Arabidopsis thaliana: one gene and its partner. The protein of the gene in region 1 purifies or fractionates together with the protein of each later gene. This does not show direct contact. Each region holds a gene or a part of one and is shown on either strand. Other genes may lie near its edges.

Region 1 (4,450 bases):
TCTTGTAGACAAAAGAAAAGAAAAACAAAAGAGTTTATGTGTTGAAATGTATATTCATGATCAAAGGGAAAACAGAATACAAAGTGAAGACGTAATGCAAAAATAAGACGAAACTGTTTATTGTCGTTCTATGAAAGGAGCTCCACAAGCTTTCAAGAGCGTTTCACTGCAAAAGAATCTTTTTTTTTTGCAAAAGCATTTGTTATAACATGACAAGAAAACTATTATACATTTACATCGATGCCACACATTCTTATACGAACGGTAATGCGTTTTACTATATGAGCCAAAATGACAATGCAGAAACATGCTCGGTGCTATTAACATTTATTAAAACATAATTGTGAAGTTAAACAAGATATAAATAAAAGTAACATATTAGGTTGACGTTGACACGTGCTAAGCATGCTTTGTGGCTTTTCCGCGATGGCTTTGCCACACACAAGAACTCCAAAAGAAAGAAAAAGGCTCGTATATCATTATTGTCAGTAAGCAACATGCGTACGTAAAGCCAAATACACTTGGTAAAGATCCAAATGTGGAAGTTTTGGGCTTGGATTCTCTTTCCATTCTTCTGCTCTCTTTCATGTGACTTGCATAAAGATGATACGACCAAAAGTGAAAACCAAGTATCAATTCATACATACATATTATAAGAATGAGAAAGAAAAAAAGTTATATTCATACTGACCCAATTAAAATTTCACACACAAAAAAACCTCTAGAGAACGTTATGATACCCCAATTGAATGTCATATATTTTCCATCATTTTCTTTTATGCCATAGATCGAGCCACTATCAATACCACTAGCTATAACAATCTCGAGCGATTTTTGTGTGTTTTTTTAATTCCCCCGACGGAACTAATTCCACTCATCTCTTGATCTTTTCGCCATATAGCACGACATATATATAGCCCACATACAATCAATATTGCTCCTAGTAAAAATAAAAATAAATATATTGCTTCAAGTACACTTCAATTTGAAAACAATAATATAGTGTATGCTTATAAATATTATCAAATCTTAATAAATAAATTGTCTTTTACCTTCCCAAATAAACTTCTCGTCCAAGAACAAAACACAAGCCACGGCGACTACTACGAGCATGAGAAGGGTTGAGGACTTCTACAAATGAGTGGACCCATCCCCTTAGTCTCGAACAAATTGCCAGTAGTGAGATCACTACTCACTACTAATGGTTGTTCCTATTGTTCCCTATACGTTTACATTGTTTAATTTCCGAGCATTCATATAAATAATTTATAATTCATTATTAAGAGGTTTAATAATATGATTTTGAAAGTACCACTTTTTAATTAATTTTTATAACATTAAATTTAAAACTTTAATTTCTTAACTTAAAAACTTTTGCACAACAAAACAAAAAAAACTAAAAACACTATAATCCATTTAAATTTAAACTAGTACACCCTCCAATGACAAAAAAAAATCGGCCCAGATTTCTGATAGCTAAAAGGCCTGAAACGGGCCGGATCCGGATCGGGTTGAATTAGGGGTCCAGATTAAAAAGTGCGAATTAAAGCAAACAAGGGAACAAGGGTTTCAGTTTCCCTGAAGAAAATTGAAAGGAGCTTAATAAACAGAAGCCGTTCTCCTTCACTTTCGTTCCTCTCACTTCCATACAACATTTGAAACCTCAGCTATGCCTAAATCAAAGCGAGATAGACCAGGTTAGAACTCTTCTTCCTTCACTCTTTCTGCTCTCTATTGTCTGAACCATTGTATCTCTGTCACTGGTTTTGGAAGCTGTAACTTTTGTAGCCGCCGTCAAGGGTTTTAGGGTTTTGTTAGGTTTTTAGAGGAACCCTTTTGAAAAAAACTTTAACTTGTTGGAGTTAGTAATGTTTTTTCATAGCTTCTATGGTTGAATCGATTGATGAATGGTTTATCTAAGGGTTTTGTTTTCTGATTTTTTGCTGCAGTGACTTTGTCTAAGACGAAGAAGAAAGGAAGAGAGCATAAGGAGTGTATTGTGAATGGAATTAGGGAGGCTGTTGAAAAATATTCCTCTGTCTATGTTTTCTCTTTTGAAAACATGAGAAATATCAAATTCAAGGAGTTTAGGCAGCAGTTTAGGCACAATGGAAAGTTAGTTTCTTTGTCCTTCTTCTGGTTGATGTTAGAATTACTTGAATGTTATGACTGACTCGGTTCTTATTTGTCTAGGTTCTTCCTAGGTTCGAACAAAGTGATGCAGGTTGCTCTTGGTCGTTCTGCAGAAGATGAACTCCGTTCTGGTATCTACAAAGTCTCCAAGGTTTGTGTATTCTGCTTCTTACAATGGTTCTTTTATGTTAAATGGTCATTTTTTGTCAGTTAGATTTACATATGTTGTGGAATGTTGTTTCAGCTGCTTCGTGGTGATACTGGACTTCTTGTTACTGATATGCCAAAGGAAGAAGTCGAAAGGTATCTATCTATGTATCTCTTGACGTCCTCTTTTTTCCTCTTTTGCTTTGGTGAAACAACAGTGACGGGTTTGAATTGTATACATGTCTAGTTGTTGTAACTGTTCACAATACTTCTTCTGGTTGTGTATTGCAGCTTATTTAACGCTTATGAGGATTCCGACTTTTCAAGGACCGGAAGCATTGCAGTAGAAACGGTTTGTGAACAGAACTTGTGCCATCTCTATATACTGTTGTTTCTAGATAAATAAATAAGCTTGACTATGATCAGGCTCTGCTTCTCTTTGTTATTTAAAAAACTTTGTTTCGTTACTTTTATCTTAATTACTATATTGGTACCACCTAAATGATTAGGTTGAACTGAAGGAAGGTCCTCTAGAACAGTTCACACATGAGATGGAACCACTTCTTCGGAAGCTTGAAATGCCTGTACGACTAAACAAAGGTCTGTCGTCTCACCATCTTAATATTCCTCTTTCTCATACTCACTTTTGCTATCTATATTAATCCAAAAACTTATTTCTTCTTCTTATTTTAATATGTAGGTACTGTGGAGTTGGTCGCTGACTTTGTAGTTTGTGAAGAAGGAAAACAACTTTCGCCAAAATCAGCCCACATTTTGGTAATAAGACTTCTGTATACCAAAACCCTTTCCTTTTAATTTGTATGCTTTATTTCTTATACTTGTTTGTTTACTTTGCAGCGTCTATTGCGAATGAAGATGGCTACTTTCAAGCTGAACTTGCTCTGCAGATGGAGCCCTAGTGACTTTGAGCTTTACAGAGAAGATCTGTCAGAGCTTTACCGAGAAGATCTCTCAGACGTTGAAACCTCTTAGGAAGCCAAGATTTTGACTCCACCCTTTAAATTTTTCTTAATATCATCACTATCACATGGATTTTATATTGTGGCACATGGTTTGCATTCAAATGTTTTAAGTCAAAGTTTTGCTTGCTTTACATGTTTTGTAGAATATCAACTTATCTTCAAGAACCCCCTATCCTAATATTGGCAAATCAATCTTGAAAACCTTGTTTTTCTTATTCAGCCACATTATGGAATTTCTTACTCAATTTGCTTACTTTTTACAGATTTATAGATGGTGTTGGGACCGAATTAATTGGCATGCGTATGATAATTTAAAGCAAGTTTTTCTTCTTGTCTTTAAAATTATTGTGGTCCATGGGCTTGAGAGCAGTCCAACAACGTTCACACGTCGTCCATCTCTTTTGATAATTTCTTGTTTTTTGTTTTTTTGTTTGTTTTTTAGCAATCCGAAACTATTGCGTTTGACTAGGTGAGCTTAGAGTTGTGATGTTAGGGATAGAAGCAGTTTTCTACGAAAGGGGTTGAAGATACTATGAGGCGAATGCGGTTGAACAAAATAGAACCCACCGGAGATTTTGGTAAAAGATTAAACGGAAAGGCGATACTTCCAACTCCGACGTAACAAATGTTTAGTTGTAGATTTTCAACATTTTATGAATTTTGATAACATATTTTTTAATTAAATTTTGGTTAACATATTTTTGTTATAAAAAAAAAATATATACATAAACTACGGGTTCTCTCATTTTAAACAAGTATAAGTATACTATTATGTCTTAATATATTTCCTTAACATTACATATATATATATATATATATATATATAAAATCGAAAATACGATATTCTCTCATTTAAATATACTCAATCAAATATCAACTTTCTGTTTCTTGTTTTCTATCCGCAGATAATGCGGGATAAATTGTTTCCTAATTCATGTATGGGACTTTTATTGGATTTACGGAGTTTGCCTATACAAATTTAGGTAAGTTAGATTGGAAAAACAAGTTCCATATACTTTATCCTTAATTTTTTTGCTTATTTCTTCTTTCCTAATGAACAAAAAGATTTTGTTAAAAAAAAAAATGTAAATCAAGGAGATCACGTATTGAGGTGAGATGAGAAAGAGAGAGTGTGTGGCTTTAAAGAAGGAATAGGATGGAGTAAGAAAAGTGAAAAAGGAGAGAAG
Region 2 (4,027 bases), on another chromosome or scaffold:
AAATATTAAGAATCAAACTTCGCTTACCAGTAGCTTGGACCTCTAGGTCAGCTAACCTACATAGGCAAAAGCAGAATGGTTAAGTAAATATAGACTCGGATATACTGTTGCAGAAATAAATGTTTCAGTGACATACTAAGTTGCATTCCATATATTCCTTATCAAAGCATTTAACTAGTAGACAATTCTCAAAGACTGGCTACAAAACTTATTCAAAGTGTTGGACTTTTCGATACTTATAGAAGAGATTCACTTCAATAATTCAGCCTCAGAACTTACGACAAGATCACGGAACCATTTGATTCCACCACTGATCCTCGGTGACCTCTGCAACACTTAGCTCCCATTTTCAAGTCCTCGGTTGCAAAATTTCAAATTCCTGCATAGATTTCAAAACCCATTTCAAAATAAAATCCCACCAACTTCGATGGATTCAAACACACAAGAACCCATAAACCAAACGGTCTAAAATCATATAAGAAAAGGCTAAAGAGCAAAAGAAGAATAAGGGTTTATGAAAAAACTCACAGAAAGCAGATAAACGTCCTTCCAATTCCAAAATCCAGCAATCAATCTGCTTAAATCGCACTGCGAAACAAGAGAAAGACAGAAGAGAGATCTGAAGATTGCCATGATCAAGCAACAAAGAGCTAAACGTACACACATATAGAGTATGTGTACGTATATGCATAGAGATTTGCAACAGAGATTCATGAGATAAAAATTGGATTTTGGAGGTTTTGAAAGTTTTGATTTTGATGGCGGAAGAAGCAAAAACACAGTCAAGGGGTTTTACGAAAGTGACGAAGCAAGTCACGTGCGAGGGATTATGAGTCACGTGCCGAGAAGCACTTATTCACAGGATATATTTCATAAGTACAATTTTGTCCTCTACCTACATGGATTGTTTTTGTCATCCATTTCTATCTCAAAGATCTTCGAAACAAGATACATATTTGATAGTCATTACACTATGAATGACAATATATTATCAGATTGTTCATGCATATGAGATAGATTTCTTAAAAGAGGATGATGTAAATGAACAAGAATCTAACAAGAGTTTGATGAAAAATGAGGATGAACTTTTTTTGAAAAGAGTATAATAGAAAATCAACGAATGTATTCAATCTTCGAAAAAGATTGCAATAAGAATGACTCAAGAGAATTCATCCTACTTCAATATTGATGTTGATTATGATACTTACACGTCAACAACAACAGATCATCAAAGTGTTTGGCAGTGCGGCTATTTCTTTGTTTGTCAAAAACCTGACATTTCTATCATTTCATGTATTCTCTCAATGAACTCAATAAGATATCACACATTTTGGTTTATAAAGAAATCCCTCCATTTATATAGTACTTACATAAAGAAAAGTGTTTGAGAATTTTGTTTTGGTTATCTAAATATTGACATTTTCAATTAATGTGATTCTCACTTTTTTCTTAAAGAAATATTTATTTTTAAAGTTTGAAGAGCTATAAGAGGAATTAGACATTTTGCGAAGGGAATAAAAACTTGAAAATAAAGAAAACAATTTTATTAATAATTATATTGTCCAGGTGTATATACTTTATTTCTTTGTATATAAAAATTAGCATCAAATATATTTGGTAAGTACGTTTTAGACAAGTATGGTAAATGACAGCCAAGTACTACATGACTCATATTTTATATAATTAATTTCATATTTTAAATTTATATCTATATCTACATTAACATGAAATAAAAAAGATTTCATGTATTGATAAAATAAGCTAGTTTGTCATAATTTCCTATATCTTAAATCTTACCAATTACCATCTTCTAAAAGTTTCTCTTACCACACAAAAAAAAAATCTTCAAAACATTTCTCCTATGCAAAACTTGAGGACAATTTATAAAACAACATAGTTAAGCCCATTAACTAATATTATGGGCCTTAAGAAACGCAAAACAAACTCGTTTAATAGAAAAGATTTCTCCGATGCAAAAACTTGAGGACAATTTATGAAAACAATATAATTAAGCCCATTAACCAATATTATGGGCCTTAAGAAACCCAAAACAAACTCGTTTAAAAGTCATCGTCCTCCGTAAACCCTGAATCTTCCTTCACAGAACCCTAAATAACTTTTCTTTTCCTCCGACCACCGCAGCTCAGCCGCAACCGCCGCCACCACTTATGTCAAGAGTAAGTCCCAAGACTGTGGACGATGCAGTTAAGGCTCTGGTCAAAGAGGGAAACGAAAAATCAAGGACGGAGAAGCCACAGCTTCTAGAAGAAGACGGATTCTTTTACCTAGTCGTAGCCCTAAAGAAGATTCCACAGAGGAATTTTACGAACGCTTATCGTATTCCTCTCCCGCATCCGCTAATTAACACTACCGAAGACTCACCGGAGCTCTGTCTCATCATCGACGACAGACCTGAAAGTGGTCTCACCGAGGAAGATGCGAAGAAGAATATCAAATCAGAGAACATACCAATCACGAAAGTTGTTAAGCTTTCGAAGCTGAAATCGGATTATGGATCATTCGAATCGAAACGGAAGCTTTGTGATTCATACGATATGTTTTTCTCAGATCGGAGAGTGATTCCTATGTTGCCAAAATTGATTGGGAAGAAGTTCTTTCAGAGCAAGAAGACTCCTGTGGCTATTGATTTGAAGCATATGAATTGGAAAGAGCAGATTGAGAAAGCTTGTGGTGCTGCTATGTTCTTCATGAGGACTGGGTCTTGTAGTGCGATCAAAGTTGCGAAATTGTCCATGGAAAGCGATGATATCGTTGAGAATGTGACGGCGACTTTGAATGGTGTTGTTGATGTTTTGCCTAGTAGGTGGAAATACATAAGATCTTTGCATTTGAAGTTATCTGAGAGTTTATCTTTGCCATTATATCAGACAGTGCCTTATTTGCAGCTCAAGATTGATCCTTTAGGTGTTGAAGAAGTTAAGAATGGTGAAGGATTAGCTAAAAGTGATGTTGATGATAGTAGTAGTAAGAGTGTGAAGACAAAGAAGAAGAATGGAAAGATTCATGAGGTTAGATATATGGATAGTAATGTATCTGAGACTCTTGGTGATGATGAATTCGATAGGAGTGTTGGAGAAGATGAGGTTGCTGATGATCTCAATGCTTCTGGAGATAAGAAGAAGAGGAAGAAGATGAGTAGTAGTAAGTCTGCAGTGAGTGGGAAACCAGACATTGTGAAGAGTAAGAATGGGCAAAAGTCGAAAAAGCTAAAGAAGGACATTGATGAGTCTGGTGGTGGATTCAAAGCTAAGACTAAGAGGAGGTGAACCAAGAAAAGAAGATTTTATATTAATGTCGTTATAACTAAGTATTCTATTCTTTCTGCTTGAGTGATTTTTTTGGATACTGATTATGACTTTGTCTTATTATGGTATCATCATCATGATTCTTATATATTTAGGACTTTTATTATCGTTTACTATTTCATCAAACTAGTGACTTGCCATGTAGTTGATTTGGTGGTTTTGACGAGGAAACATATTATTACATGTGTTTTGTTGCATTCCAGAATTGGTGTTGTATTGAATGCAGAGAAACCGCTAAGGATAAGTACTTGCAGGATCTGACTCAAGCCTGATCCAGATCCTGGCTAAGTACTCATCCCATGAAACGGCTAAGGAAAACAAAAGTCTCTACTCTTGAATCTCTTTTAAAGTTAAACTTCATCTCTCTAGTATGTTGGTTACGGTTCTGATGATGTCGACAACAGAGAGAGCGAGAGCATTGTGTTGATATCATCTGTTGGTTTTTGCCTGCAATTTCCAAACTCAGGCAACTGTATCCCACCTCCGGACATTGATTTCAATCGTTTGACTGATGATACTTCTTCATCTCGGACTCTTTTCTCATTGTTCTTCTTCCTAATCTGCATAAGATTTCACCAAGATTACAGTACCTTCCTCGGTTTTTAACAAAACTGTTCCTCTATAACTCTTAAAACGAAAGTAGGTAGTTACCTCGAGTAGAGGCAGAGTCTTGTTCTCTGTGCTGTCTCGGTCATTTCTGC

Evidence for each region.
Region 2: the proteins of AT1G25260 (region 1) and AT2G42650 fractionate together in Arabidopsis thaliana (co-fractionation; one large-scale study listed by BioGRID). This does not show direct contact.

What each region holds. Positions count from the first base shown.
Region 1 is NC_003070.9:8,852,986-8,857,435, reverse strand, and holds AT1G25260 (Ribosomal protein L10 family protein), read left to right. Parts: upstream 1-1,561; 5' UTR 1,562-1,669; coding exon 1,670-1,697; intron 1,698-1,949; coding exon 1,950-2,115; intron 2,116-2,193; coding exon 2,194-2,284; intron 2,285-2,377; coding exon 2,378-2,436; intron 2,437-2,571; coding exon 2,572-2,632; intron 2,633-2,789; coding exon 2,790-2,880; intron 2,881-2,980; coding exon 2,981-3,057; intron 3,058-3,138; coding exon 3,139-3,273; 3' UTR 3,274-3,902; downstream 3,903-4,450.
Region 2 is NC_003071.7:17,763,362-17,767,388, forward strand, and holds AT2G42650 (Ribosomal protein L1p/L10e family), read left to right. Parts: upstream 1-1,816; 5' UTR 1,817-2,168; coding exon 2,169-3,287; 3' UTR 3,288-3,527; downstream 3,528-4,027. Other genes in the region: AT2G42640 (Mitogen activated protein kinase kinase kinase-like protein), read right to left, coding at 28-56, 280-347; AT2G42660 (Homeodomain-like superfamily protein), read right to left, coding at 3,704-3,886, 3,978-4,027.